Drosophila melanogaster: one gene and its partners. The protein of the gene in region 3 interacts with the protein of the main gene of each other region in a pairwise test. Each region holds a gene or a part of one and is shown on either strand. Other genes may lie near its edges. The genes, in order: CG14711, odd and Crtp.

Region 1 (10,010 bases), on a different chromosome or scaffold from region 3:
AATACACTCAAATTTGTTTTTCAAACCATACAATTGTGAATATACATACATATTTATGGAGCTTCTAAATTGGATAAACTATGATGCAAATTTAAGCTCTTGTTATTTATAACCTCGTATTTTTTGTGGTTAGTTTTAACTCGTTTTAGCCGTTGGCCAGCTTTTGTTAGACCCTCTGGACTCAATAAATTTTGTAAGTGTAGATCTAACCATATTCCTATGTCGGATTAATGTGGGCCCGTCTGTCTGCATTTTGGGTGCGGCTAGGCTGGCTGGCTGCATTCTCTGGCCGTGCAGCTTTCTCTGGAGGTTCTGCCGGGAATTAGACCCATTGACTCATTCTAGGGCTGCGCCCAATCCCAATCCTATGCCCAAACCCACTACTGCTGGCCAGCCAAACTAGTCGCGGCTAGGCAATCAAAATCGACATTTAGTTTTATGGCGAGTCAAACAACAGCAGCGGCAGCCGGCGAACATGCAATGTGTCCCGAGTTCAATGCACTTGCCACTCAGCCTCAAACTCCGCTGCAGTGGCTCTTGGCCAGATACACAGGCATAGCATACTAGAAGATCGCGTGACTATAGTTAAATATAGTTAAGCACCGAATGTGGCACGTGACGATATTGGGGCAGAAAGTATCCCCCATATTGTGTTATATTGTGGACACGGCTTTTTTACCGGGAAAACAACAATTTCGGTGTCCGGTGGGCAGGAGTGTGCCCTTAATCACTGGCCACCACTGTGGCAGGGAGTGACGAAGAAACGAGAACGCCGCCATCGACTCCAATTGCAATTACTCATCATCTATCGCGCCAATTATTCGTAATATAATGATAAGTGCGAACCAAAACAGCTGCCAACAGATTTCCTAGTGACTCAAGGAGGTCATTTGGAGCAGGGCTCGCATACTTGGCTAATTTACTCATGGAATCCGCAGATGTGGCAAAGGTCAAGTGCGTAGGAACTAGTTTTCACAAATAGCCAAGGAGTTGATTTTTAAATTTACCGTTTAAAATTAGATTGTTGCTTTATAGCTGGGAAATTATCTATAAATTTCCATGGCATTTTTATGTTACTGGAAATGAAAGAATTCCCTCCTACGGATAGAGGTATATGATCTCAATGCACAATTTACACAATTATTAGGATATGTTCTGATTATAGAGAACTAATCGTAGTAATTTAACACTATAAGATTGCTTATAATGGCTTTAATTTCTGTATATATACCAGGAAGATAAATAGAGAACGACAATTAAACTAAAAACTTCAATTTCTGAGTAATTAGTTTAGAAATTGGAAGGCATTCAATAAAATTAACGATATATAGAGTATCGTAAGGCCCATATTTTATTGATTTACACTTTTGAGTGGGCCCTGTACAGTTTGCCACAGTTTTTCGCCTACTTCAGCTAGTTTGATGGCCGGCACAATGGTGGAGTGATGACCAATTTGAAAACTGGCACAGAGAATGGAAAACACAAAAACAAGCGCCACCTCGGTTGCAGTCATAAAGGCATTAGAAGAGGGGAGCGGTGCGGGGTCAGGGTTCGAGATGTCCATCGGCTGATGTGCTAGATATAGTATGTGATATATGTACGTATGTACATATAATAATGTGGGCGGGGGAGGCAAACTGGCACACTTGCTGACATTGCAGTGTGCACTTAACTAGAACCACCACTGTGCAGTACTCACACACACGCACACAGTCAGAAATGCCCGTGCATGTACTAACTACTCAAAATGGTCATTTTCCCGGTTGCAGCTGTGAGAAGTGAGGTCCTATATTGACAGCGGGGGTTGCCTACGGAGCACACATATCAAATATCGGTTGTTAAGGGCGTTTTCTAACGAGTCCATAACAGACGGGAAATGGAGTTCCGAAATCGAATAGGAATCGTCATCACAATCCTTGCCGATCCAAAACGAACAGTTCACCTAACTGTTAATCCAATAAAAGATCAATACACGCATTGGGCGAATAGAGCTGCGAAAGCGCAAAAGGAGAAGGAATTCGGAACGGAAGTAGGAAGAGAATCCGCGGTGGAAGCACATAATAAAACCAACGGAACGTTAAAAAAAAAAGGAAGAAGCAAAGAACGGCACTCGGTGTTGTTTTTGCAAATCTGCAAATCCCAACCAATACCATCGTGTACACCCACACGCACACATGCACACGCGTAGATTATTTTTCAAATATGCCGGCAACTGCTCTTGGTTTTGATTTGATGTACTTACTTGCTGCTGGCCTGATTATCGGTGCAATCAAAGTTAGAGATCATTTTGCCGCTGTAGCCGCTTATTGGACGATCGGTAACGATTAAATGGAAAACTGGCACACACGTAACAAAGTGAAACACACAAAATGCAAGTGGAAATGCACAGAAAATTGCAGATGCCGCGGCACGTTCGTTCAGTTCGAAAGGCGAATTAAGTGTGGCTGCCGCCGAGCCGCTAAATCACGCCGTCGGCTCGAAAATGAAAGGCACTAAATAATACCACAGATGCAGTGGCGGCGCTATAAATAGTTTGAAGGGGCTTCAGTATTTTTTTTTTAGCTTTTTCGTAGCTGATAGCTAGTTTAGGCTTAATGGTAACTTTAAACTGAAATGTATTTAAAACACTTGTAGGTATTTTTTTCATGGCAAATGCGGTCACACAGCGCAGGTCTAAAATTGTTTAAAACTCATTTAATTGAAATTAGCCTTAATTTCCAGCCCCCTTGCAAAAAAACGCTAGCCAGGATGGCCAGCTTGCCAGTGATTCTGCAATGCAGGATCTGCTTGGGCGATTTCGAAGAGAGCCAAATGATCTGCCTGTTTGGGGATAAAGGCGAAAGTGACCTCAGGAAAAAGTTGGAGCTGTGCTGTAGGATTAGGGTAAATGGAGCTGACCAGATGGGTTATATGTATCATTTCATTACTCCAACTCCCCCAGGTTCGCCAATCCCCGCAGCTGCCCGAGAAGGCCTGCAACAGCTGTTGCGAATTCGTCCAAATGTGGTTCAACTTTCGCCAGATGTGCCTGAACTCGCAGGTCTACTGGGAAACAAGTTCCTCGGAGAGACCAGAGGCTCTTGCCCAGGCAAGCGATGCCGAGTATATGTTGTATCTGTACGAGAACCTACATCTGAAACTAGGCACAGAGAATCAGGAGAAGGAAGAGATCACCGCAATAGAGGAGGGGGATGAACAGCAGGAGGATCAGTCCCAGGAAGTTCTCGATTTTAACGGATTTATCATAAACGAATCGATTGAGGAGGACGAAGAGCCTAATACGGAAAGTCCTGAGCAGATTCTGATTTCCCACATGGACTCCTACGTTGATGATCAACAAATGGAAGAACTCATTGATGATAAGGGTGAGCTTGTCGAGGAATTATCCAATGCAAACACGTTTTATGAGGTTGAGTACGGGGACGAGGAACTTCTCATGTCAAGCGCTCCTTCGCCACATCCCAGCTTCAAAATGGACAAACAAAAGCCGGGAAGGCCTCGCAAACCGGACGCCGAACTGAAATTCAAACGCAAGGATATCAACGCCAAGGAAAGGGGGAACCAGCCAAAGTGCAAGGAAGAGGAGAAGTTCATGTGCATCCTGTGCGGAAACGTCTTTTACAAGAAATCTGTTTTCACGGCCCACATGATGACCCATTCAGAGTACAAGCCCCACCAATGCGAGTAAGTGATATTAAGGTTTAGGAAGGAACAAATTTATCCTACAAAAATGTTATTGCTTTCAGAATATGCAATAAATCTTTTCGACAAATGGGCGAATTGCGAGCACACATCCGTCGTCATACGGGCGACCGTCCATACAAGTGTATGTACTGCGACCGCCACTTCTACGATCGCAGCGAACGGGTCCGCCATGAACGGGTCCACACCAACACGCGTCCTTATGCCTGCCAGGAGTGCGGGAAAACTTTTACGCACACAGCCATCCTCAAAAATCACATCCTTTCGCACTCCGCCCAAAAGAATTACAAGTAAGGGAGAGTAATCCTTTCTAGTGATTTGCACTTTTTATTAATAATTTGAACTTTTCAGCTGTGGTATCTGTTGCAAGTCATTCACTCTGCTGCACCAGCTGAAAGCTCACCTGCAAACGCTAACCCACCGCAACAAAATGGAGCAAACCATTCCCAGCTCTCCGGAAATGTTAGAGAGCTAATATAGTAAATTAATTGAGGAACTAGGGTTATCTATTATAAGTAGTATAAAGCCACTTTTCCAGAATAGACCAGCTATTTTTATTAACTATTCTACCACGTCGCTGTACTCCTTAGCTATCAGACGGTGCGCAAGAGACTTCTCGTGCGCTGTAAGTTGGTGCTTAAGCCGAAATTCTTTTTTACACATAAGACACTTGTGAGACTTTTCAGACGAATGCAGGTAGTAGTGAGCGTTACGAGAGGAGGACAGAGAGAATGTTTTTCCACATATGTTGCAAGCATAGGGTCTTTCATTCGTGTGCAAACTGAAATGAAGAAATTCAACATTGGAACTTAAATGCTGTACACAATATATATAGTTTTTGTCCATTCTACCGTTCGTGCTTGCGATGAGTGCTGTTGTCGGCAAAACGGCGCGAACAGTAGCAACATTGGTAAGGTTTCTCGCCCGTGTGCGTCCGCATGTGTGTTTTCAGGTTGCAGGCGGCTCTGAATGTCTTTTGGCAAACCCTGAATCATACATTTTATATATGAAATATTATGTTAAGATATATCACGGATACTTACTCGCACTGGTGGTCCTTTTCCTTGCGGTGCACCTGCGAGTGTGCATTTAGCTGAGATAAGCAGCGGTATGTATTGCTGCAGATCTTGCATCTGTACTTGTCCGGCTCGCAGGCCACTCCTAGATCTATCACGTAGTCGGCACTTGGCTCTAGATTATGGTAATCCTCGCTTGTCTCTTGAATACTGTCCGTAGCAGCGCTGCTTTCTTGCGAATACGTTTCGGAGTAATTTTGATCGGAGATCTCCCTGTCCAAATCCATATCACTGATGGTATAGTCCTCCTGGTGTATGTCTTTCTCGTTTTCCGCATTCACGTTGAGATCGAACACGAAATCGCTTGAAAATTTATTTATGGGTAAGATTTCATCATCTTTGGTCGTTTCCAATGCATTCTCTTGAGTCTTAAAGTTAATAGGATTCTCTTCGATGAGTCTCCCCGAAATGTTCTGCTTCCTGGCGCGTTTTTTCTGTTCAAGCTGGTCCTTATCCTCCAGCGTCTCAAATGCCGATGCGGAGGACAGAGTTTGACGAACGAGGCTTCTCAGGTGCGCGTCGGATTGTTTGCACGCGCTAAGAAATCTGTCCACCTCCTCCAGTTGCATCAAGCAGACTGTGCAAATTTGATCCGGCAGTCCATCATCCGGTTTCACCTAGGAGAGAGGATTTGTAACTGGTAAACTGGAAGCCAAACAGAAATCGAGTACTCACAGATGTGCCGGCATACGAGATCAACAGCTTGTGGGCATTGGACTCGAAGAGCGACTGCAGCGTGGATTGCGTTCCTTTTTTGCGGCAAGTGCGGCACATGCTCCATTTAATGCTGATTTCCATCGTTATTTCCGCAGGAAGTCCCTCTTTCGCGTCAAATGCCGATTCAAATGCCAGAGCAGTGAATTAAAAGTAAAAGGGTTGTCAGGTACGCGGAATTAGTAACAGTTTTCAACTATCATTCCAAATTTTTTTGCATTTAGTTCTAAAACTGTATTTTTATTGCGTGACTCAAGCTTAAATATTTAATAGGGCCCACCTGTTAGTTTAAAAAAAAAAATTAAGATTTAATTATTATCAATTATTCAATCGATATGCCGATAGCAAGTTCGATAGCCATTTATCGTTTTGCGTACATGACAACCCTGGGAAAAGTTCCAAGACGCTTGTTTATTTCAGAATTGCAAGCATACGTACGTCCAGGACGTGCAAGATAATGCCCGAGTACATGTTGTGCCGAATCTGCTTGACAGAGGACATCAACTCGGAGGCGATGGCGCCCCTGTTCGATGACAACGACGCCCAGTGCCGGGAGCTGGTGCGCAAGATTGAAGAAGTGGGCAGCATAAAGGTACATGTGGATGCAAATGTAAAATCCTGCGACTTAACCCACTCTGTGCTTTCAGCTGGTGCCGCTGCAGAACATCCCCAGTATGTTGTGCTACAGCTGCGTGGAGCGACTGACCAGTGCCCACAAGTTCCGGGAGCTTTGCCAGGAGAGCGAGCGCACATTTGCCACCAATGTAGTCAAGGTACGTATAGAGTTGATGGGCCACATATAAACATCCCACTTGACCCGGTACCATGTCAGGCCGAGATGAAGTCGGAGCCAACGGACGAGGTGCCGCACGTAGTGGCTGACAACATTGAGTACATCTACGAATCGGCCAACGACTTCATCGACGGTGTCGAGGATGACATCGGAATGGAGAACATCATGGAGGAGCCCCTGGAGGATGGTGTCGGGGAAACGTCGCAGGCCTACGAGACTAGCACTGTAGTGGACGACCTGGACGAGGATGACTTGCTGGTGCCGAATAGCACCGATAGCGACTACCAGCCCATCGAGCGCTGCCGCAAAGCTAAGGTGCGTAAAACGCGGATGACTAAACGTGGACGTGGCCGACCTCGCGGTGCTAGCTCCGGACACCCACGCAGTTTTAGCGAGGAGCGTCCGCCTGTTCAAGCTAGCTTCAAATCATCTCCCGAAGTATCCTCCACGAACATTATGTGCGAAATCTGCGGCAATATCTACTCCAAGCGAGCCGCTCTCAACATTCATATGCGTCGTCATATGGCCGAGAAACCATTTAAATGCGAGTGAGTATCTGAAATTATCATCTGAACCATTTTATATTATGTAAATCTTATTCCGCTTACAGAATATGCAGCAAATCCTTCGCGGGTCCATCCGAGCTAAATCGCCATATCCGCGTTCACACGGGCGAGAAACCATTCTTGTGTAAATATTGCAACCGCTCGTTTGCGGATCGCAGCTCCAATATTCGTCATGAAAGGTGAAGATGCAATTCCTCATAGTAATCTTCATATAAACTATACTTGTTCCTTTTGCAGAACACACACAAACGAGCGACCTTTCACTTGCTCCACATGCGGCAAGGCATTCTCCTACTCTAACGTGCTAAAAAACCATATGCTCACCCACACGGGCGAGAAGCCTTTTCTGTAGGTCCATTGACTGCTTTAATCATGTATAACCCTAAATTCCCTTTAATTTTTCAGCTGTCGAGTCTGCAATAAGACCTTTTCCCGCAAGCACCAGTTGGATCAGCATTTGGGCACCATGACCCACCAACAGACTGTAATACACCACAAAAACGAACGGACGGGGCGCTATTAGTCGAAAACAATGCAATACAATTTCTGTTAGATAATTCATTAATGTACATTTAATTATATATAAAAATTGTAAAATAAAAAAGAGTACAAATGGTCAGACCGGATGTGTAAAATAATCGGATTTGATTTATTACTATTTGGTTAAAGAACTTGTTCAAAAACACAAATATTTTTTGTAATGTTTTTTATTACGTCCATATATTCGAGAAAAAAATTGGAACACGATTACAATCTTTGATTTTGTGCGTTTATTTGGTAGTTTTAACATCATTTTGGCCATTAAATGAGTGTGCGTTTTTTATTGTTTCTTTTCTTTGTGCTCTGTCGAAGACTTTGTTACCGTTTGTGGAAGCTACAACATGGAATAATAATCGAATGGCACAGGATTAATTAAATCTTCTTTTTTTGGACAAGTAAATATGTTTTGTTTTTTTAGGTTTATAACTTGTAACGTTTTACATCAAAATCTAAAAACGTTTGGAAGTCGGGAGGGATGCGGCTCTTCTTCTATTCCTTAGGGAAACAAAAAGTAAAACCAAATATGCTAGATATTCGCATAAAATGGATTTATGCGAATACCTGTACTTAAATGTACGTCTACCTTGTTAAAGAAAAGGACGCGGAATTTTAGAATTCTTACCGATAGCTAATTAGTGTAATGGCTAGATAGGCAGCTTCATTGTTCAATGGCTAGCTCCGTGAGTTTCTCTTCTTTGCGTTTATGAATATTGCTGGACAGGTGGGTCATCAAATGGGAGATTCGTTTGAAGTGCTTCTGACATACGTAGCAGCTGTAAAATCAAAGTGTGTTGAAACGTGTAATACAAATAATGTGCAGAGTTGGCAGAAATCGAAATGCCCACTAGTGATTCCGCGCATCCACATGGATCATCTTGTGCTTCCTGAGACATCCGGAGCTTACAAAACTCTTTTTGCACGTGTCGCACTCGTAGCGGCGTTCGTTCCGATGGCGGCGATGGTGCTCCTGGCGAGCGCCTGAAGAGGAGAACCGACGTGGACAGTAGACGCACACGTATGGCTGCTCGCCCGTGTGGATACGCGTATGGCTAGTCAGTTCCTTTCGAGTTGCAAAGCTCCTTTCACAATTCCTGAGGAGAAAAATCGTATCTTAGGTGCACTAGCCCAAAGGAGGTTAAGGATAATTTACAAAAAAACACAGTGGAAATTCTTGATGCCTGTGTGCCGGAGCGTGTGCTCTTGAAAGTTTGACTTATTGTTAATGATCCTTCCGCAATCAGGGCATACATATGGACCAGTACCTCCTCCAATTGACTTTTGATGGTTCAAACTAGTCGGTGCTGAGACCTTTTCAGCACTTGGCATTGGAAGATCTTTGACTTCAGGACATAGAATGGACTCGTCCAACTCACTCTCAATTTGGTTATCATCGATGTCTTCGTATATTATTGGATCTGTGGAGCAATCCTTGCTGTCGCACTCAATCCTTTCCAGATTCTGTTTCTCGGCAATGATGCAGCGCTGGCGGAACTTAATGGCTGCCTGCAGATTGTCCAGGCAAGTCGTGCACATTTGGCCGGATATTTCTTTCTTGCAGCTTAGCTGGAAAGTATAAATAGCAAATTAAGTGCCATGATTAAGGAATATTTTTAGACATATTACCTCCACCCCAGTAATGGAGTGAATTTGACGAACTAGATGACCGTTTCCTGGACCAAAAAGGTCTATTGGGGCATCTGATCTAGAGCAAATGCGGCAATTCAGAATTCGCATCTCGACTTTGATTTGTTTTTGAATAATTGTTTACTGTTTACGTTTCGAGCAGCTTATGCGAAATGTGTCGTTAAGCTATTTGCATGGTCACTCTAACTTTTGCACGCATAAACGCTGTTTAGAGTTTTTGCACAGGGATTAGTACCTTATGAAGTAACATAAATACAAATATGTTTTATAATCTCATTTAATAAGAGTACCATAATGGTTTACTGCACTTTTTAAATCATTTAAGTCACACAATGGCATTGCCGCACTTATCGATTTTGTCGATAATAAAACCAGCTGTTGCATCACAATATATATACATACATATGTGTAGTGGATGCGTTTACAAAACAATTGGTTGTTTATATTCGAATTAAACTGAAGTTGGGCTAAACTTCGGTTGATTTTCAACTAACATTATGGCGCTCCAGTGCCGGACCTGCGGCAGCATCATCTACAATAAAATGCCCAAGAATCTCTTTCATATTGAGAACGAGAAGATGCTGCAAGACATAAATCTTGTCACTGGCACAACAGTATGTAAGAAAAATGGTTTCCATTTGATTTGTGCAGCATTTTCTGTGATTGCAGCTCCACAACGATCCAGAGCTGCCCAGCAGCATATGCGCCTGCTGCACGCTTGACTTGAACCAAGCGATTTTGTTCCGGGAGCGGTGCATCCTAACGCAGAAGCAGCTCGTCCATCGTCGTAGATCTCCCGAAGCGAAGGAACCGGCTGAAGATGTTGAGGAGATGGCATCACCGCCGGATTGTCTGAACGATCCATTCGGGGAAGTCGATGAATACATTGTGGAATCCCCAGAAGAAGTTTTGGATCATGATAGTGATGCTCATCATGATCTGGATGAGGATAATTATATTGATTCTGTTGAAGAT
Region 2 (10,774 bases), on a different chromosome or scaffold from region 3:
ATCGCTGTGATCAGGTTTAGTCATTTCCAGCGCTCAAATAAATAAAAGCTTTGAGCGCCACATGTCGTCGATTCCTTGTAATCCCGAAATTGGAATGGGAAGGGGAATGAGAATGGGAATTGTAGTGTATACGTTCCCAGGGCACGCCGAAGATCCTGCTTAGGATGGGGAGCCTCTTATAATGTCTTATTTATATCGGATTATGGCCATCACACCATTGGCCCGCTTTTGTTGCTGTGTGGCCACCATCAGAGGGCTCAGAGCACACAAAGCCAGCGGGCGCATTAAAATGTCAAAGAGCCGAGAATGAAATAATAAAAAATAAAACAGACAACGGACAACAAGTGAAAACGCAGGCATAACAAACAAAAGAGTTGTCAAGTCCATGGAGGATGGTCCACTAACTAACTTGATACCGAGGTGTTTCCACTTTTATCTGTGGTTTTTTTCCCTGGTAATTCAATTAAGTTCCCACTGGGAGGAGTAGGAGGTAGTCCCATTCCAAATCCAGATCCCCCTATCGAATGGACTTCCAGGGACCTCCATGCCCGTCGGCTGTCCGTCTATAAAATTGATCGCTCTCTTAGCCCGGCTAACTTTATTTTCGGGGCTAACCAATTTCCCAAACTGATTTGTGCCCGGCGATAAATTCAGCAACCTAATTGACAGCACAGTCCCCTGTCTCCAGGCATCTTCTTCTGGGCTGCAGGGTTCTCCGGTTTCGTTTTCCACTTCTAGGTGTCAATTAATGCACTGACTCGGGGAGATTGAGCCGGGCTGATAAGGTGGAAAAGTCGGGGCAGAAAAATGGCCTCAGGCGATTAAATTGTTGGAGGTGCACTCGGAAAATTGTACTCAAATTGAAAATCTTATTCACTTGAAAAAATCCTTCCAAAACCTTCCGAATTAAATTTTAAAGGATAATTTTAACAGAAATCCATTGCTGCTGGAAAACAGCTGAAAATCAATAATGCCATAGTAATTTCTCTCAGTGCCAACACCCAGACAGTTGCTTTTGTTATGGCCAGTTAAGATTTGTTCGGGCCTAAGTAAGTTATATTTAAAACACCTTCTTAAGCAAAAGTGTCAAAATAGCCGATCGATAGAGGCGACGACCATAAAAACGAACCACCCAGTGAGCTCGAAATTGAACTCGCCTCGAGTGCTCGTCGTAGGTTCTCAGTCGAGTATATGAGTATATGAGTATCTGAGTATCTGCGCGCCAAAGTATCTAGGTATCGGTGTATCTGAGTATCTCCCCACCAATTTTAGTGTCGTCGCCTGACGGCGAAGAGGGGAGAAAAGGCTTGTCAGCCGAGTTTTCCGATCTTTTTCCCCTAAGTAACTACGCGTGTAGTGCAATTAGGCTGCGACATTGTGACACATGCGACTACTGTGCGCCACAGTCAACAACGACACAAAAAAAAAAGAACATACGTGCAACAATCAAGTGTTGTGCTGTTTAGCAGAGACGTGGCTGAAAGGGTGGCCTAAACGAATTGGGGGGCTTTCAAGAGGGCTGATTGCAGTATGATGTCTAATAGTTGTGTCCTATGAAGTGGTTGCGTATAAGTACTTTCCAAGCAAGTGCTCATGATATACTTTGATAAGAACCAGCATGAGTAACTGTGCGACTTTTTATTCCCAATATAAATTTTTCCATTAAATCTAAACTATGAGAAAGGGAAGTGATTAATGTTGCCCTTGATATGAACATATATCACATAGCATTTTCCGAATTATGCAAATCACTTTCACATTAGCTGTGATTTATATTGATGGTAACCAACATATTTGTCATTTGTTGTTAAATGTTAGATATCCATTTCTTAACGGTTCCACTTTCGTAAAGCTAGTATCAAATTCTTAATAGTTAAAAGTACACAATCGTAGTAATAAAATACTATTTTAACTTTCGTTAAGATCCTCCTAAAAGCATTCAAATCGCAGTGCATGGAAATGGTGAAGTGGCAATGCGATGTCTGTGGCTGTGAGCCAAAAGGCGTTGCGATGTCGGCATATCAAAACCACTTTTAAAGCTGACAATCTAGACAATGTACAATTACGAGAGACAAGTTTTGTTTGTATATATATTTTTGGGCTTGGCTCACTTGACAACTCTTGTATAGTTTTAGATGGGTTTCGAGTTATGTTACTGCGGTAATGCTGTCATCATCATCTATGAGTGTTTCTGTCAACGGCCATTTTAAGCGTGTCCTCGATTCGATTCGATGGCAAATTGATTTGCAACGTTTTAATTGAACACCTCAGCAGTTGACCAGTTGGCCAGTTGACCAGTCGTCCAGCCGACCTGTCGACCAACCGGCTTACAACATCATCATTCTGGCTTTTCAGGGTGGTCCCGGCCCAAAGGCGAACAGGGCCAAGTGCGAACGTGTCCTGGACAATGGGATGTGCCCCTATGCCGATCCTTCCTTTTCCCCCGGGCAGCTCATTAAAATTGCATGCTCGGTAGGAGCAGAAAATAGGAGGAGACTGCCCCTGTGGCAGTAAATGGCTCACTTTTGGCAGGCGACTTTCCAGCACGTCCTGCCACTACAATTTACAATGGCAGGACATCCACAGGACACGGAGCTGCATGCCACCCTAGTTGCGGAACCGATGCGTTTAATTGTGGCTCAAAATGGCCCAAAAAAAAAGGGACTCACAACCCCATGCGGACACATATCAATCTGGTCGGGATAACTCGCCCTCCCGCTGTGACTTTCACAAAATATTTTGGTTGTACGCAGTGCAATTATGGACAAGGTGTGTCGAAATGCCAGGACACCAAGATCCTCGAGGTCCTTAGACTGCCTGCGGCGAAGTGTTGCAAAACACGGAACACAAGTCCTACGGTTGACCACCCGACCAACTCGGCCAGATAAGACTAAGGTTAAGGTTTGGCCAAAGTCAGCAGGATATGCATGGCCAAGGGGGCGCGGCCAGGATACTTGTCAAAAGTAATCCTGGGCAAAAAAAAAGGCATCTATGTAGACATCAATTGGCGAATACGTTGGCACTTTTCTGGCACGAAAACAAAGCAAATCAAAGCCAACACAATGAGAGGGCCCAAATCAATTGTACATGGCCATAAGGCCCGAGAGTATGTCATCAAGGTGGAGAAAATGGAAAATGGAAATGCTAATGGAAATGGAAATCGAGCAGCAAATGAGGCAGATGCAGACCCCTCATGCGGGTTCCCCCCGGGGGTAACCAGAACGACCTCAGGCCTCAATTAAAGACAATCCTATGCTCGATTTTGAGACAAAGATCACAATCTGAAATTGACAGTTCTGAGTAAGAAGCGTGCTAAGAGAAATGCAATTGCCAATGGAAGAAACTAGAAAAGAAAACCACCATTAAAGGAAATCAAACATACCTTTTGCAAGGCATTTGGCACGTTCCCGATTTTCAAGAGAAGCCACAATGAAAACTGAACTAAACCCAAAACTGAAACACAGGCCATAAATATTTGGACCACACCTCAAAGTTAAACAATAACCATAGTGTTACCGAAATCGAAACCGATTCATGACAAAATCATAGCAAAACTGACATCAAATTCAATTCGATTCGATTTCATAAATTAACTTCTGCGACAGTTTGAATATTTTTGGTGGCGAGACTTCTGCTTACTTAATCGGCAACCTGAAAAATAATAGAGCTGCTTAAAAATGCGCAAATCGAGATCTGCATAAAAACTGAGTTATATTCGGATGGTTAATAAATTTTGACAGCTGCTGTTTGATGGTTCAACTTATATGGTCCTACGAGTTCAGTCTACTGAGTTATATTCGCAGCATGAGAAAATTCCCAAATCGGAATGGCGTGGGATTTAGTCAGCGGATAAGAAAGATTTCAAAGTGATTAAAAGTAGATCAAAATCATTCAGTCCGCTTGGAACTTGAATCAGTCAGTAGGTGGTAGAAGGTAATCAAAAAATTGCTGCTTAAATCTTTTCAGATAACTTTAACTTAGTACACCATAAAGATTATCAAGTTGCCAGTAGAAGTAATGATAAATCAAGGCGAAATTGCCATTGCCAAATACCTGGAAACACAAAATCCACCGTATTCATAAAAAGTCTTATTAAATTTCAGTTGAAAATTACTTTGCGTTTATATTTACGTATTTTTGTGATAACTTCATATCAATACGAATGTTTCAGACATACATATAGACGACAATGAGATCGTTGTGCATAGTCACAATTGCTATAGCGACAATTAAGTTGTTAAGTCTAAACAGTAAGTAATCATGACACTCGTCGGGGTTTAACATTACACAATCGATCGATTGATTTATTCAAGTACTATTTAAATATAATAATTAAAACAGTCTTTCAATAACCAAAGCGGGTTTGAGGTTTGTTTGATTGAGCTATTGTAACATAACATTTGGTTTACTCCATAAGCACTACGAACTGAATGGGCTACTACGACTATAAGGTACATACAATAATAGTTAGATTACAATATAAATTATGTGCTATTTATTAAAGTTTATAGTTTACAGTTGTGTGTGTGTGTGTGTGTTTTGGAATCGATTTGTAGGAGGCTTGTGCTAGCAATACTTTTCATTGGATTTTTCATCAGTTTTCCTCTGCTATTTGACTTTGGCATTTGTTTAACGCAATTGGGATCTGCTACATAGAACCGATTGCACGGAGGATGACTCTTCTGCTCACTGGGTTGCGATTACGAGTTGCTGGCGAGGATTTTCCACTTGCACCTTTGGCCAGAATGCGGGCTGGACTCGCTTGGTTTTCCATTCCAGGCATTTCCCATGCCTGGCGGACGTCCAGCTCTCTGAATCTCTTTTAGAATGTCTCAAAAGAAACCGGATACCGGGTTTCGCTGGTCCTTCAATCTATCTGCTCATGATCTCATCGATGGTGAAGCCCAGCATCCGCTTGGGCTTCTCTGAGCTCGAGGATGACGAGGATAGATCCAGGACAGGCAGATGCTGTGCCAAATTCTCAGGTTGAGGCGAACTCAATGCCTGGTTTGGCACCGAATGTGAAGTGGCTGGTGAGGTGGTCACCACCACCTCCTTGGTGCTCTGCTCGCTGTGGCTCTGGAGGTGACTCTTGAGGTTGGCCCGCTGGTTGAAGCTCCGCTGGCAGATGGGACACTTGTGCGGACCCTCCTCCAGATGGGTGACCTTGTGCACGGCCAGGGTGCGCGACTGGCAGAAACCCTTGCCGCAATCGCTGCACTTGAAGGGCTTGTCCTTGGAGTGGATGTACCGGTGGTCCCGCAGATGATCCTGTCGCCGGAAGGCTTTGCCGCAGATGTCGCAGGAGTAAGGCCTCTCGTCCGTGTGGGTTCTCTCATGGATGAGCAGATTGTACGACTTGGTGAACTGCCGGTTGCAGTACTTGCAGATGAACTGCTTCTTTGGCCGACTGCTGCCAGTTGCGCCGCTGGGTACACCACTCGCTCCACCGGCACCACCCAGTTTCAGGGTGGGCATGGCTCCGAAGTGGCGACCCATGACCGCGGCATGCAGACTATGGAGGCCAGCGGGATAGGGACGCACATGATGCGGATGTGGGTGAGGGTGGTGCGGATGGCCGTGGTGGTGATGATGGTGCGGATGTTGCTGCTGCTGCTGTTGCTGCTGGTAGATGGCTGCGTTGCGGATCCAGTGGTTCATCAACTGCTGGTGCACGGCCACGGGATCGGCGCTGGCTGTGGGATAAACTGGATACTGCTGTGGAGCCTGATGTTGTTGCTGCTGCTGCTGCATCTGCAGCCACAGGCGGTGCTGCTGCTGCTGTTGCTGCTGTTGTTGCTGCTGCTGGTAGTGGGCCATGTGTCGCATGTGCAGCTGGGTGGCCACCGCCTCCTCGCTTATCGCCGGATGCACTCTCCTCAGCGGCTCCTCGGTGGGCGTGTGCGGGGGCGTCAGCATGGGGGAGAGACTTGTCTCGCGCTCCTCCTTGATCACTATGAAATCCTCTTCAGCAAAGTCTAAAAAGGAAGGAATAGAAATGCCCACGGTTAGTTTTCAATTCATATAAATGCAATGCTATGTGAGACTACTTTCAAATATTAATGGAACATTTTTTGAAACTAGTCAAAAAGTGCTAGAGAGTAATGCGCTTTGCCGTCGGCATTTGCCAAGTTGTTCTGAGCCAGTTTTGAACTTGAACCCACCTTGTTCTCTGCTTAAGTTGAGCTCGTCATCCACGGTTATGTTGCTGATGGGTGAGGCCGATGTGGAAGACATTATACTGTCTTTGTTGGCCTTGTGTAGTTTTATTTGGCTTAAAATTGTTTAGTTGCGCGAACTGCACGGTTCACTTTGGCTTAGCACTTGTATCTACGAATGTATCTTTTCTCAGTATATTTCCCAGCTGACTGAGCGTTCTTTTGGATGCGACGTGCCACCGACAACGTCTCGACACAAACTGAATTCGTTGGCCGTTCGCCGCTCTCCGACTCAAACGCTTGAGAATCGAAGTGAAACGAGGCGAGTGGAGTGCTGATATTCCTGTCTCGCTTCCACGTTTGAGTGACTCGTGTTGCTGTTGTTAGTGTTGCTTTTGCTTTTGCTTTTGCTGCTGCTGCTGCTGCCGCTGAGCGATGTTGCTGTTGGGAGTAGCGCTCGTTAATAACTGACTGCAACTGCTGGCAGGGCGACCCGTTTTTGAACCGGCCGAGAAGTGCGGAGGAGGGCGACGAGGGTGGCGAGCGGCCCGACCAACGGCAGCTGCCTGTGGCGGGGTTGAAGTTGTTTGGAAATGGTAGATACGTCCACGCCTACCTGCTGCTCTCGGATTGGCCCTCAGCGTTCGGTATCTACTATCCCATGGATGTGGCTCCGACCGAATGTGCCTGTGGATGTGCATGGATATATGTGCCTTGGCTTTTTCCGTTCCAGCAGTAAGCAAGCGGAAACCGTTGGCCTGACGGTCGCAAGCCTGGGATATTGTTGGTGTTGCTGCTGCTGCCGATGTTGCTGCCGTAGTTGCTGCTGCTGCCGTTGCCGTTGCTGCTGCTGCTGCTGCTGCTGCTGTAGCTGCTGCTGCTGCTGCTGCTTCTGCCGCTGATGGCAGGCAGCCATCGCTGGAGTCCAGCCCGCATCCCAGTCCCAATCCCGAAACGCAGCCCTCCCAGGCGCATGTGCCATCAGCAGGAGCAGCAGCTGCACGAAGGTCCTGTGTCGTCCTGGCGCGTCCCTTCCACCTCCATTGCCATGTCCATACCCATTCCGCGCCAGCTCTCGCTGCTCCTCGTGCCTTTTTAATGTCGTGCTGTCTGCGCCGCAGGATATTGTAATCTATTGTCCCTGTTTGTGTTTGCGCCTGATTCGTTTTCACTTAAATTTTAATTTGCAATACAAATCAGTTTTTTTTATTCCCCCCCATTTTGCTTTACACTTTAATCTGGAATTCAATTAGCCGCTTCAAAGCGATGGCGATAAAAGTTTCGAGTGGGTGGAAACGGCCGTTTGTAGCGAAAATTGATTGGCTTTTAAAAGGGTTTCCGGCAGGATAAGCCGGACATATTTTACAGCAAATTAACGACGAGTTTGAGGTAATGGTAATGTAATTGAAAGACTTTATTAAAAGGATTGTACACAATTACTGGTTAGTTTTGGGTATGCCTTTCACACACCATTTATTTTCGAGTTTTTTTAATTATTTTACTCAGTATTGTATTTATTGTAATTCAGTTGTTTAAGTAGTTGTTAAGTAATAGTTGAACTTTCACCGTTTTCAACTGAAGTGCGACTCGAGCTTGTCAAATCATCTTTAATGAGTTCCTCATTCGAAATGCTTCATGCTACTCACTTGGATAATTATTTAATAATTTGTAATTGAATCGAGACAAGCAGGTGCACTTTATGGGCAGTTTTCTTAACATATTTTGAAGGAAATTGCTTGGAAACTAGAAATAGGTAAAGTCATAGGAAAAGGTTAAAAGATATAAGTTCTGCGGGTTGAATGTTTCCAATCAAAATTTATTGAAGCATCAAATTAATGTAGTTGTTATTTATAGGATATTGTAGTTAAATATCTTTACAATTTTTATTATTATTATTCGGGCTTCTATATAATTAATATTTTTCATATCTCATTTAAAAAGACAAATATTTCATAGCATTCAAGAAAATACGAATTTTCCTCATTAATGAATAGTTTTAAATTGCACATGCCATATTTATGCTTCCGAATTAAATCCTATTCTTCGGTTGGATTTTCCGCCAACTATAAGATATTTCCCAAGTCCGACAAAACATGGATAATGCATATCCTATTATCCTGCTTCCGAATTCCGTACATTCCCATGACTTTGACTTGTCGACTTTCCAGGTGAAGCATTTCCGCAATGGATCTGCGACTAATCCTTTAACTTGGCAAAACAAGAAACATTCCCATTGACTGGTTTTACCCGTATACGGACTTAGGATCCGAGGATCCTGAGACTAAGCCCATTGCGACACACTCCGTCACAAGCGGTCCTTGGCAGGATTGACTTTGGGTGATTAAATTAAGCAATATGTACACAACATTTAGTACAAACTTTCCCAAGCGGCGGCGAGCCAATGATCAAACAGCCTGAATCAATAGGCAAAGGTCCTGCTGCAGGACGTTTTTTCCCAGAGTGCGTGTGTCTGGAACTCTCGGATTGTCGATTTTTGATTTTCGATCCGTTCCAACATCGGATCGGATGTACCGTCGGTTTGCCAGTGTCGGTTAGCTTTAGCCTCGGCGTTTGGCAATTGTCGCCGCTGTTGACGGTTGGCAAACAGTCGGCGAACTTTTCCATTTCAAAGTGACGGCCCGGACTCCGCCCACCCTTTCGGTTCCCTGCCTTTCGGCCTGTGGAGTCGCGAGCGGTAATTAACATCATGTCATAAGTGTACAAAGGCAAATAAATAAATAAATAGATAAACACCAGCGGAGTGGAGACACATGAAAGACACAGGCCGAATATTTCCCAGCACATGATATATGGCATCGCACTGGCTGACTTCCTGCTATATCCATTTGTTGTCGTTACTAATATTGTTACTATTGTTGTTGCGCCTGTCAACACATGGCCAAAAGGATTAGCCCTCTCCCGGGGGAAACACATGTCCCACTATTTGCATGTGGAAAACGCGAGATTTATAGTAGAGAGATCCTCCGACACTCGGAAACGGAAACCAAATCGTAGGGATGCGGAAAGCAGGAACGATGGCCATAAAAAATAATTTGGAAAGACCTGAAACGCTTCCTCCGCGCCAAGGACCTGCACCAATAAAGAAGTCATTGGCTCGGCCATAAAGCCATAAAAAACTATAAAACTCTCGGCCTGCTCGACATTAGTAGTCTGCCATTGTTTTGCGGAGGTCCTGGCCTGCGAAAAAAAAATCGAAAATCGAAGTACAAATATGTAGAGCGTAAAAAATATAACAACGAGAGCAAAAAATCACAAAATCATCATAAACCGAAAATGACAACTTACTTAGTCGCTTCTTTGGCATCATAAAATCGCCCAAAGACACTTCGCAGAAGACCCTTGGTTCTTGACTCTCGGATCTCCGGACTGTGACCCGGTTTTTAGCAATGTTCTTTCTGTTTTTTTTTTTGGTCTGCTCTTTTTTTGGACCATTGCCATGCATATTTTATGGTATTTTTTCGTGTTTCCACGAATAAAATTAGATTTTTTAGAGCAGAAATGTCAGCTACGCAGTGCGCGAAGTCATCGGTAATAATTGTAAAATGACTTTTTAGTGGGCCATATGCCAGGGGTTTCGCTATTCCACCAAAATCACTTTTTATATTAGCCGTGGAAAATAAAGTAGGGCTCTTTTTTTTGGGAATCTCGACTTGGTGACCTTCACTTGTAGGGAAATCTCGAAGTTTTTCCTTCGAATCGAACGTCTTTTGGCTACTGAAAGAAGTCATCGTAGTTTTTGGTGCATTCGAGGAAGTAATAGTAGTGAGGAAATGTGTTTTATAACCAGACTTCTACTAAAAAATCACAGTTAGGAATCAAATGTATATGATGAAGGTATCCGTGCAAGTTGTAAGTAACAGAGCTATAGATTTTATGCCTTACAGATTTCAGTACGCCATTTACGCTCTCTAGAAACAATTTTATATAATTTCCCCAAATGGGGGAGGGGCGGGCACTCGTATAATGCAGCAAAATTTTCTCAGGCATCAAGATGGAAAAGGGCCAAAAGCCTCGGTTCAAGGCTTCGTTCAAAGGCAATTTGCAATTTCATGGCGAAAACAGACCAACTATAGCCACTGCTATGAGGTAAAGGAAAAAACAATTTCAGTTATTGGAAACGCTTCCAACGAACTGGGCAACAACAACCATTTCGCAACCTCGATTTCGCTGGCAAAACGCCAAAAAGTCGCTAAAATTGTTCAAGTCCTTGGGATTCGCCTGATAATTAGGTAAATCTATTGGGATCTCTTACCCAGCCGTTGACGAAGGGATGTGCAGGAGTCAAGGCTGTCGACGAAAAGGAAGAAGACGGGTGCACGCGGCATTGTTGCGATTTGAATTGCTTGCGAAAAGTATCTAAACACACCATAAACGCGTCACGCCCGCGACTCCGCGAATCGTAAACCCAAGGACACCATGGCCCTAAGTTGCCGCGACCAAAACCAAAACGCTGGCTCGTCGGAAAAAGGGGTGTACCCTTTACTAGCGTAATTAAAGGGGTGTGGGCGGGTGAGTTTCGGGCCGGGGCAACCAGGTAGCCAGGATGCCATCGGTATTGTCGCTGGCATCGTAAAACCGGTATCCTAGAAAACCTA
Region 3 (10,870 bases):
ATAAAGGGTTTGGAACACTGCTGCCCTGTCGCAGCCCTGACATTTGAATTGTTGTCACTGAGCTGTCTGTCATTATGAAATAGTAGGTCTCGTCATTTTGCACTGTACTTTTTCATTATATTTTATTCGAGTGAGCATGTCGTGTCCGTAAGTAACTAGGTTTTTCCTATAAAAATCATAGCAAATTACACCAAAATCTTTTAGCAGGAGCATCGAGATACCAGATGGCAGTTGGATCGATTGGTTCCTGGGAATCAAGGGCCACGAATTCTCCTGCCGGGTGCCCAATGAATACATCCAGGACAAGTTCAATCTGACGGGCCTGGAGTTCGATAGCCAGACACTGGAGGTAGTCTTAGATCCGGAGTTCGACAACGAGGACTGGGACTGCGCCGAAGAGAAGAAGCTGTATGGCATGATCCATGCACGGTACATCGTTTCGCCGCGTGGCATTGAAGATATGCGATTAAAGTACGAAAGGGGGGACTTCGGATCGTGTCCGAGAGTCTTTTGTAAGAGGCAGAAAGTCCTGCCAGTGGGCCTTCACGACGTGTGGGACAAGGCCCAAGTTAAGATCTATTGCCCTAGCTGTAACAACGTCTACATCCCGCTACCCCACAATGGAATGCTGGACGGAGCCATGTTCGGGACCAGCTTCCCGCATATGTTCTTTATGCAGCTGCCAAGCTTGATACCCTCTCCGCCCGTGGAGAAGTACATCCCCCGGTGAGTAATTCTTCGAATATAATCCTTGTTCTTTTCTACACAAAGCACTTGCACTTCCAGTATCTATGGCTTCCAGTTGCACAAGAAGGCCCTGATGCCGCCCGAATCAGCAGAGTCCCCGCCAATAAAGGTCGAATCCTCGGTCAGCAAGTCGCCCTCCTGGCTAAGGAATGTCCCGAATTTTTAACTCCACACGAACAAAGCACACAAATGTTGGTTTGGTCTGTTGTTGCAATTAAACAGTTTCCCCAATGCGTTGATATGGCCAGCGACCACTAACACATGGGTGCACTCTCTCTGCCCTAAACACTTCACACCATTCGGTCCACGCTGGCCATATCAAGCAGTCATTCGAAAAGCAAAGCGTACTTGCCGTTAATAGTGGTAATCACCTGGGAGTTCGGAAGTGAAGCAGCTTTAAGCGGCCTATTCATCCGCTTAGTGTTGTCAGACACTGCGAGAAAATGGTTGGAAAGTTCTGTTGCACGGTCTAAATATAATTAGGATCCTCTACTACTCGAGAATTGGCATCAAGTGCACAAGGATTAAGGATCTACACTCCAAACGTTGAGTTAGATTATATTTCATCCCTGTGTGCGTGCTCCTTAAGTTCGCTGGACTTCGCAATAAAAATCCACTTGGCGGCACAACCTGCTAAGCCGATAATGGGAATTACGTTGAGCCGAGGCGTGGGCAGGGATTCGTGAATTTGCAGGAGGAGCCGCGTCCTGTTACTGTTCCTGTTCCCGATCCTTTGCCGCTGGCATCTCCAATAAGTCATGCCTTTATTATTATTTACTGCCGCCCTGGCGCTTTCATTTTCAGTTTTCCACGCCACTCGACGCCTTTTTCCTTCGAGTGGAGAAGAGCGCCTTTTCCGCTTTTCTCCATGGCGCCACCACCCTGTTTCTCGCACTTTTCACACTTAATTTCATTAAGTAATCATTCATACTGCAGCTTTTATTGAGTTTTAAACTGGCGGACCGTATAATGAGAATGTCTGGTGGGTGGAAAACGCGGGAAAATGAAAAAGCGCAGGATGCGAGCGTTTTGTTTTACATTACAATCGAGATGGCAATGTGGCTGGACTCGGATTCCTTTTCTCTGGCGGGACCTTGTGGATTCTTTGCCACCTGTTGTCCGCATCCGCCATTACTTATTCATAGTAATTTCTAGAGACCCCATCGAAATACAGAAAGACAGCTCGCCGTCTCATTTTCCACGTATTTATCCAATTTCAGACGGAACACGTCGGTCCGCGTGGGCAAACAAATCCGATTGCTGTTCTTGTAAACAAAGTGTCTGCACCCGATTGGAAACTCTGTTCCTGGTGCAGCTGTGTTTCCATTCTTCCGCCAGTGTGTTTTCAAGAATGGTCGGGTATTTGATTGTATCGCCGCAGGCTCCACCACATCTATCCACCAGTGGAGCCCAGTGGGAATACCCAGCCACCAAGCTCCCTGCCCGCTTTCAGAAAGATGTTTTCCGAGTGCCGCAAAAGCCCCCACTGAAATATTATTGTGTACAGGCTTTTCAAAATATTTTGACTCCCTTCGCTGGGCACACAATAAATACAATTCGAACGAGGTCTTTAGAATTTCAATTTTACGAATGATTCCTGGGCTGTGGAATGCACAAGAAAAAGTACGACTTTAATCCGATGCAGATAGAAAATAAATAGGAGCAATCGAAAACTGCATTTCTGTTTTGCTCTGCTGTAGATATACATATAGTTTAAGAACTCAGGTCATTAACTTTCCCCCCTCGACTCTTTATTCCCTAGACTATATCCATTGTTGCATGCAACCAAATTGGGACTTCAAATGTTTCATTATCTCTTTGGCTGACAATCGGTCCATACTTCGCATAGTTGACGTAATTTTAAGACTCTCCTCTATTAACCCCGTTCGGGCTAAGCGGTTCAGCAATTTATGGTTAATGGCACTAAATTGGTTAACTTTGGAAGGCGGCAACTTTTGCAAACTTGCCAAAGGAGAGTAAGACGGCGGTTCCGTTAATTTGGAGCCGAGCGGTTGACCAAGCCCCGAAAGACAGCTGCAAAGTCCTAGGAGCCGGCTGATTAACCCATTGGGACGGATGGCCTGCTCCAGAAAGGACACGGCCGTAATTATCCCGGCGAGATTGGCCGGCCGGAACACTCAGTCCACTTCACTCCGCCGGAGGACGCTGGGTTCATCAGCCTGGTTAGCAGCTCAAATTAAGTTACGGGCGGAACGCCGGACATGTCTGCCCGGTAATAAGCTAAATGAAAACAAAAATGGATGTCACTCAGTGCCGCAAGTTGATGAAGATGAAGCAGGAGGTCTTTGAGGTCCTGGGGTGGAGGTCGTAACCCAATAACTTTGGCCACGCATTAATGGGAATTTATGAAGCCGGCCACTCTACGCCGGAGATTCTGCGCTAAACAAAGCGCGTAAGTGTCGCTGGAAAGGGTTACTCACCAATCCTCCGACTTCGCCGAGAAAATGGCAGAGGAAATGGAAAACTGGCAAAGGGGAAGAGAAGTCCTTTTGCGCCAAGTTTAAGTGCTTTTAAAAAACCATTAACGTCATTTCCTCAGCTGTCTGGCTCCATTCGATGATGGCCGAGCATCCTTTTTTCTATATTTATCTTTGCCAACGGAAAACATTAATACAATAAGACCGAGAAACGTAAATTTTGTTAAAGTGGATGCGATGATTCCTGGTTACTTGGCTTTTTTCTTTGAATCTGGCTGTAGGGATCCGGATCCCCAGGTTCCAGTGGGATTGGGCACGGGTGCTGGCCTATCGTTACCAGTTGGAGGAGTTGCCACCGCGGAACCAGCTCTTTTGGAGTTCCTCTTCATCTTACTTCTCACTGGAGGCTGGGATTTGGGAAGGGGCACATCTTTGGCCTCGGCAAGTTTTGGTTCCGGTGCAGTGGGCTTGGATGTGCTGATGGGTGGACTAGTAAGCGGAGGAGGACCTTTCAGGCTGGAACCTGATTCCCTGGAATTGGGAGCCAAGTCTGGTTTGTTGAGGGTAGTCAAAGCCTTGCCCACAACACTTCGGAAATTGGGCTGTACACTTTTGGTCAAGTCCGGCATGGGCGGCAGCTTCATGGAAAGCTGGCTGATTTTCCTCTGGTTATCCAGCGGGTCATTGTGGATCACCTGCATGGGACCGGGACAAGCGGCGACCGTAGGAGTATCCGTATAGCAAACATGACGGCCATAGTCAAAGGACTCTTTGCTGTCCGTGTCGGGCATTCCCCTTCGGTGAAAGCAATTGATGGGACAGGAGGCGACACAGGGAATGTATGGCTTCTCCACCTCGGCCAGCTTCTTGATCTTCACCGAGTTGCAGTAAATCTGGTGGCGATCGGCCACCTGCTCCTCGCGGCACTTCTCCCGCTGCTCGTACTTGCGGTACGCCAGTTCCGCCTTGGAAAAGAATCCTGGCCAGCAGTAGTCCCTTAGACTGCTTCTCTTCACCATCCTGCCCTCTGGTCGCATGTCCAGCTGGTTCTGCCGCTCGTAGCGATCTACGGCGGTGGCAATGGGATAGAGAGGTCGCCCCACCTTTCTCGACTCCTCCATGATCTCGACCGCCTGCTCAAAGAACTTCTTGTCATCCTCCAGGTATGGATCCTCATTGCAGGCGGCCAGGTTCATTAGCTCGGCGCGCCGCTTCTCGAGGAACTCTTCCCGCTGGCCAAAGAGAACGTTGCGCAGCTCCTCCTTTACCTTGTCCCTCTTTCGCTTCTGAGAGGCATCGAAGAAGCGATTCGCCTCGGCGTTCTTAAGGCGGCGCGCCACATGGAAGCGCTGCAGCTCCTGCTGGCGGCGGAGCTTCTCGGCGTCCTGCTTCCGCTCCAATTTCTGATACGCACGGCGCTCCTTGGCCAGCATCTCCCTTTCGCACTGACGCCGGCTGTCGTCCACCTGCGTCTCAAAGGCATGGCGGTCCTCCGCGTCAATCTGGCGCTCTTCCAGCTTCTTTTGAAGCACTTGCTGCGCCTGGGAGACACGGAGTGCCTGTAGCTCCCTCTCCTCCTGACGCTTCTGCCGCAGCTGCTTCACGTGGCTTCCATAGCGACTGTCCAGATTGCGACTAGCCACGATGTAAACACAGTTGCGCCGGTCGTCAATGGCGTCGCAAATCCGCTCGTCTGGGGATGAGGAATAATATGAATATATCCAGTTCTGCTAAATAGTACTTACGTTCTGCAATCTCCGCCTTCTCTTGGAGGGCCTCCTTGTAGGCCTTTCGATTGAAGGCGATTTTCCGGGCCTTCTTCTCTTTGAGCGCCTTCTCCTCCTTGTCCTGCAGACACTTGTACTGAGCCCGATCCACCTGCTCCTCGAAGACCCGTTGCTCCCGCTCGGCCTCCCTGATCCTTGCCCGCTGCGCGATGTCCGCCCGCATGAGCTCGGCATGTTCCATATTCTTCGCGGTCTGCCTGGCCACCTCCTCCTCCTCGGTGGCGTGGCCGAAGGGCACCAGGGCCGCAGGACACATCTCCTCATCGGCCCTTTCCTGGGCACGGGCTGCCTCCGCTATCTCCTCGTTAAGGGCCTCATTGTACTTCCTCTGATGAATCATTTCGCTGTAAATGAGCGCCTGGTGCAGAGCGCGGGGTCCGGGCTTCAGTTGATCCAGTAGACGATTGGCTCGCAAGATCCTTTGCTTGCGCAGCCGCTCGTCCGCCAACTTTGTGTCCACATCCTTTACCACTGCCATGGCTTCCTTGCTCTGCGCCCTAGCTGATTTCTTGACCTTCGGAGCATTGGGATCTGTGAACAGGCTGCAAAGAAGCTCGTTGCCGTCCTTCAGGTACTGCCGATACCTGCGTTCCTCCTCGACGGCCTCCATTTGGGCATGCTTCTCATCCTGGCGAGAACGTCCCTTTATGGCTGCAAACCGCTTGGCCGAGATCACCACCGGATGCCGCGTAAAGCGCTTCCGGACAAAAAGTCCATCGGGACCCACTTCCTTGGGCTTGCACACATTCATTTTGGCTATGGCAACATGAATATAGGATCAGTTCGTAATGTTGTTGATTCGGCAAGGGTGTTGTATGTATGATCTCCTCAGAAAACAGGAAAGCTTCGCTTATAAACAAAATATATGTCAACACCTGGACTACTGTGCTTCCATATCGATTTACCTAGGTACTTTTGTTATTTTCTGCATGGGTTACGCGCAAAGAATAAATAATGGCCAAGTTCAAATTAGAATAGATGGATGATTCAAGTGAAAATTGAAGGTCACTTTATCCAGTTTGTCGGAATATTTTTCGATATTTTAGGGCTTGCAGGTGGTAAGCGACGTTCATAACATTGAAGTTCATGTTCCACTTCCGGCTATTCGATTTAAGGCCGCAGTTTGCTACGAATTTGTATTTCACCTATTTAGAGGAATATTAACTTACTTCGAGTGTCAAGTGGTTTCGAGTTTTCGATCAGTACCAGCCTCTAAAAGTGTATTGGCTGGTTGCATTTGGTGTTATTGAAACATTTATTAACCGTTTTAAATCGATATTTAATGATAATGTAATAAACGCATTCTCCACTTAACCATCAATTCAATTTGATCAAAAATAGAACACATATTCAAGCTAAAGAGCCAGGTTACGTCAGTTATCCACGGGTGGTCGACCGACCAAGAGCCATGGATCACAAGGTTTTCATTTTCGCCGTTTCGCTATTAGTGGCCTATCTAAGCTGCGGAGTAAGAAATCGGATTGTAGGACCTAATTACATTTCAATTAAAGCTACACATTCCATCAGGAGGCGCCCTATCTCAAAATGACAAATGCAGTGTGCAAATCGTATAACAAATCGTGGGTGGTTGTTCACTACTGCCGCCTGAAGGCCTATTCTCGAGCCAAGACCAGCTTGAATATAAATGTCACGTTCGTGGAGCCGGCCAGAAATATATCAGTTCACTTTAAGACGATGAAAAAGGCCAATGGGTATAAGCCTTTTTTGTTCGACTACACCTTCGACGCCTGCGAGTTCATGCGAAGGCGCAACCAGCCAGTGGCCAAGATCATCTGGTACATGATCCGGAACGTGTCCACCATCAACCACACCTGTCCCTATGAGGTGAGGTCTCCTCAAACTGCTATTTAGGGACATAACCCATTCCATCTTTCAGGGCTTGCAGATGCTGAGCGACTTTCACAAAGTCGACATTCCTGTGCCACTGCCATCTGGGGACTATCTACTAATGGTCGACTGGTTGTTCGATGGCAAAACGCAGTTCGCCACGAATGTATATTTCACATTTATAGAGGACTTACTGCCGACGAGCTCGAAGCACAGAAGGGGCAGTAAGGAGTTCCCCGTCTTACGGAACTGATATTCGGTTGCTATTCACAAAAATACGAAAATTGTAACGACACTAGAATTTGAATAACTAACAAAAATTGCATCGAGACCCTTTTACTCAGATACTAACTGACTTCACAACTCAGTTCCCGAGAACATTGGTTTTTGAAAGGGAAGTAGATCCTGTAAAATGGAAAGTATAGATTTATTTTCTAGGACTCAGAAGTTCACACGCGTCCAACAGAAGTATATATGCAACTGGTATAATGATCTTCGATGTACATACATAACCATTACGTAATTTTCCAGTCGAATGGCTCCATGATACATCGTTTTTACCACATCTGCTAATAGGGTTTCAACTAAAATTTGTATTTAATGAAGCTTATTTACCAGTACACCGTCAGTTTTCAACGGAGTGGTAAACAGCCATGAATCGTAGGCGGGCCGCTTTTGTTGTTTCGGTAATACTTGGCTTTCTGGTCTGCGGTGTAAGAGATCCAATAACATATTATATATTTTATAAATACTTGAAAGCTTCCCCCAGGAGGCACCCCTTGCTAAAATGACGAATGCTGTGTGCAAGTCGTACAACAAATCGTGGGTGGTTGTTCACTACTGTCGCCTGAAGGCCTATTCCCGAACCAAGACCAGCCTGAACATAAATGCCACATTCATAGAACCAGCGAAAAACATATACCTTCACATGAAGATGATGAAGAAGGCCAATGGGTATAAGCCCTTTTTGTTCGACTACACCTTCGACGCCTGTGAGTTTATGCGAAGGCGCAACCAGCCGTTCGCTAAAATCGTTTGGAACATGATCAAGAACGTATCCACGGTCAACCACACCTGTCCCTATGAGGTGAGATCGTAGTTTGACGTATTTTAGCCCAATTTCGTCGGGTTGCATTTGGATATTTCAGGGCTTGCAGATGCTAAGCGACTTCCATCACATTGATGTTCCCGTTCCACTTCCGTCTGGAGACTACTTACTTCTACTTGATTGGATCTTCGACTTCAAGCCACAGTTCGCTACGAATGTATATTTCACCTTTGTGGAGGGAATGTGAAAAGTTCCAATCTGAAAGCGATTTGTAATCAAACTTTTCTCTGATATCTGCGAATGTTTAGATGGCCCGAAAGTGACTTCACCCCTTGGTAAATATCATCAGAAATTTTATTAATTATGTATCGCCCTGTTACTATATGGTTAAGTAAGGATCGAGATTATAATGCTCTTTGTTCCAGTACCACCTCCTACAGGAGACTTCTTACTCCATCAATCCCATGGAAAAATCAACTGTTCTGTGGGAAAATATTGTAATAATAACAATTTTCAGTTCGACGCAATGGTAGTTATTACAGGGATTTGGTAGCCAGTAACATGATTTCTTGCCAAATAAGACTAGATCTAGTTAATCCCTTTGTTTCTCGATTAGTTTTCCATCAGTTTTCCCTAGCTGGTTCATCAGCCCAGCTGGGAAAAGCTACGCGAATGGCATTCAGGAGGTCTTGTTTGGGTTCCGGTTCATCGCACAGAATAATACAAATCGCAAATCTTTATGCAAGAATTAGCACACCGATATTGATTTCGAAATAACGCCAAAATATTGTTAATTGGTCAATTTAGCTCGCGTACTTTGTATCGCACTAAACATTTTGTATCCCGCTAAACATTTACAGAGAGAAAGCTTCTATTTGCGCTATTTTCATATAACTCCCGCAATTAATTGGCGCCATAAATCGTATTTGAAGACCGGACCTGTTCCACAGCAGCACATGATATGCTGGCCATCCGCAATTAGATGAACCCCAATTAGTGTTAATCAAATTAGGCAAAAACCCGGGTAAAGCAAATGGCGCTCCATCCAATTCCGGCCGGCGTCAAATTATACAGGGAAACTCAGATGGCACACAAATGGAATCAAGAGGGAAAAGGAAAGTTGACTTTCATGCGAAAAGTTTTCCGGAGCTGGGCGTGAATTCCTGCACCCAAAATGTTCATGGTTTTCGGGGATTGGATTTCGCGAGGGGGCGCTGAGGGCGTGGTCAGATGCCAAACACCGGCGATTATTGTTCCAAAATGCAGCGGAGCGTGTAATTTTTTGGGCACGGAAGAAACGCAAAGAATCCGCATCCACATCCAGATTTAGTTTGAGATTCAAATTGTCCAAAGAAACCATTGGACGAGACGGGCAAGGGAAGGCGAACGCGGCCTCTGAAAATTGTTTTGCGAAAATTAGTTTTCAAACTTTCTCGTCCGTTTATCTTGCATTTCTGACGGCCTCGTCCTTTTTTGTACCTTCGTCCTGCGGGCCAAATGGAAATCTAAGCGCAGTGTGCGATATTAATTTGCATTTCGGCCTTGTTGTCATCTGGTTTGTGGTGCCGGGAATTGGGGCGCGGGGGCTTCGTGGCACAATAAAAATCAAATTTAAATAATTTTTAATTTATTTACAGCGTTTCGGTCGAAAGTTGTCGATGTTTTTGTGTAATTGGGATTCTGCGGCTGTTTCGTTCTGGGATCCATTTGTTGGCTTCTTTTTCGACGCTTTCGGCATAATTGCCTCGAAATTACCTTTTGAGTGAGACAGAGCCAAGGAAAAACGAGACTTTATGCAAATCGCTTTAGGGATATTTATTTATTTCGATTTGAATCCTCTGCCTATGAAATACATTTGTTACACACCGCTCGTTTATTTAACTAAAGTTAGACTTACTTAAACGGTAAATTTATTTGGCTTTAACTAGTCAATTACTTAGCTACAAATAAAAATTAATTTAACAGCAATGTCCACATCAACCGACTTAAATTCTTGACAATCACAAAGTTAGGATTTGATTTTGATTCGTCGAACAGTGAGTAATTTGGTGTATACGACTCGAGCTATGGAACTACAACTATGATTAACCACAACGCTTTAAGGTCCGCCGATATCAGAGTCTACGTAGATCCTTAGTCCCTAAGTGGTGGAGAATTTGGCGAAGGGCTTCCGAATGTCGAGCGGGTTCTGATAGGAAAGTCTGATATCTCTGTTTCCATATATCCTACGTTTAATTTAGCCGACGCACGCACAACAACTAGGATTATATTATATGTTACTGGTAGGTATGTATGTTGGGCTGGGAAACTTAGGGTATCACAAACATTGAATGAACACTTACTATGGTTAACTTCTGCTTAACTCGGCTAATTCCGATTCCCCAGATCCATGTATAGTAAAGAAAGTCTAGCTAATGGTATTGAAAGTTCTCAGATGGACAGCAATCATTCAGGTTATAACCAACACAGATTACTTTATATAAAGAGTGGAATATCTGAGGATAGGTGCTATCTTTCATATTCTTTTAGTTAGGCTTCAGGGCGCTTTCTACAGGCCATGGGTATTTTGCGAATCTCAGAGACTTTAAATTGAAAACCCAACCAAAGGACCTCCTAGATCTTAAGCCTAATAGAAAACACACATATTATGGTTTGATCATGCGGTATTATATAGACACTCACACGCACATACACCTATGGAATCTTATAGATACTCGCTCGCTCTCACTCCCTATTCTGTGCATGGTTATACCATATCCTGGACATCCTGGAGTACCGTATCCCGGCATCCTTGATCCCAGTGCCCTCTGTGATCCTACTTGCGATACTCGGCCATTGGAAAGGCGGACTTCTCCGGCGGCGGACTGTGGCAGGCAGCGCGAATCCGGCTGAAGCGCAGGCTGCCCGTGTGGGAATGGAGACGCGTCTTGGCCTGCTGGTGCAGCGGATGGTGCGAGCACTTGGCCTGCCTGGCCAGCAGTTGGTTCTTGGCCAGGATCACG

The links.
Region 1: the proteins of Crtp (region 3) and CG14711 interact in a two-hybrid assay, tested with the Drosophila melanogaster proteins (one large-scale study listed by BioGRID).
Region 2: the proteins of Crtp (region 3) and odd interact in a two-hybrid assay, tested with the Drosophila melanogaster proteins (one large-scale study listed by BioGRID).

What each region holds. Positions count from the first base shown.
Region 1 is NT_033777.3:11,617,462-11,627,471, forward strand, and holds CG14711 (uncharacterized protein), read left to right. Parts: upstream 1-5,877; 5' UTR 5,878-5,949; coding exon 5,950-6,084; exon of another isoform or gene 6,085-6,139; coding exon 6,140-6,265; exon of another isoform or gene 6,266-6,324; coding exon 6,325-6,833; exon of another isoform or gene 6,834-6,841; intron 6,842-6,893; exon of another isoform or gene 6,894-6,895; coding exon 6,896-7,030; exon of another isoform or gene 7,031-7,088; coding exon 7,089-7,199; exon of another isoform or gene 7,200-7,256; coding exon 7,257-7,374; 3' UTR 7,375-7,487; downstream 7,488-10,010. Other genes in the region: CG14710 (uncharacterized protein), read left to right, coding at 2,749-2,883, 2,942-3,684, 3,747-3,992, 4,054-4,177; Zaf1 (ZAD and architectural function 1), read right to left, coding at 4,264-4,483, 4,554-4,688, 4,746-5,395, 5,454-5,576; CG6813 (uncharacterized protein), read right to left, coding at 8,050-8,164, 8,237-8,482, 8,542-8,954, 9,015-9,125; CG18764 (uncharacterized protein), read left to right, coding at 9,533-9,649, 9,705-10,010.
Region 2 is NT_033779.5:3,600,122-3,610,895, forward strand, and holds odd (odd skipped), read right to left. Parts: upstream 6,636-10,774; 5' UTR 6,238-6,635; coding exon 6,165-6,237; intron 5,979-6,164; coding exon 4,873-5,978; 3' UTR 4,103-4,872; downstream 1-4,102. UniProt on the Drosophila melanogaster protein: Pair-rule protein that determines both the size and polarity of even-numbered as well as odd-numbered parasegments during embryogenesis.
Region 3 is NT_033778.4:24,489,459-24,500,328, reverse strand, and holds Crtp (Caldesmon-related protein), read right to left. Parts: upstream 5,812-10,870; 5' UTR 5,724-5,811; coding exon 4,931-5,723; intron 4,879-4,930; coding exon 3,434-4,878; 3' UTR 3,305-3,433; downstream 1-3,304. Other genes in the region: Ssl (suppressor of Stellate-like), read left to right, coding at 137-147, 205-726, 787-913; CG13590 (uncharacterized protein), read left to right, coding at 6,381-6,440, 6,500-6,817, 6,870-7,073; CG13589 (uncharacterized protein), read left to right, coding at 7,474-7,533, 7,590-7,907, 7,969-8,115.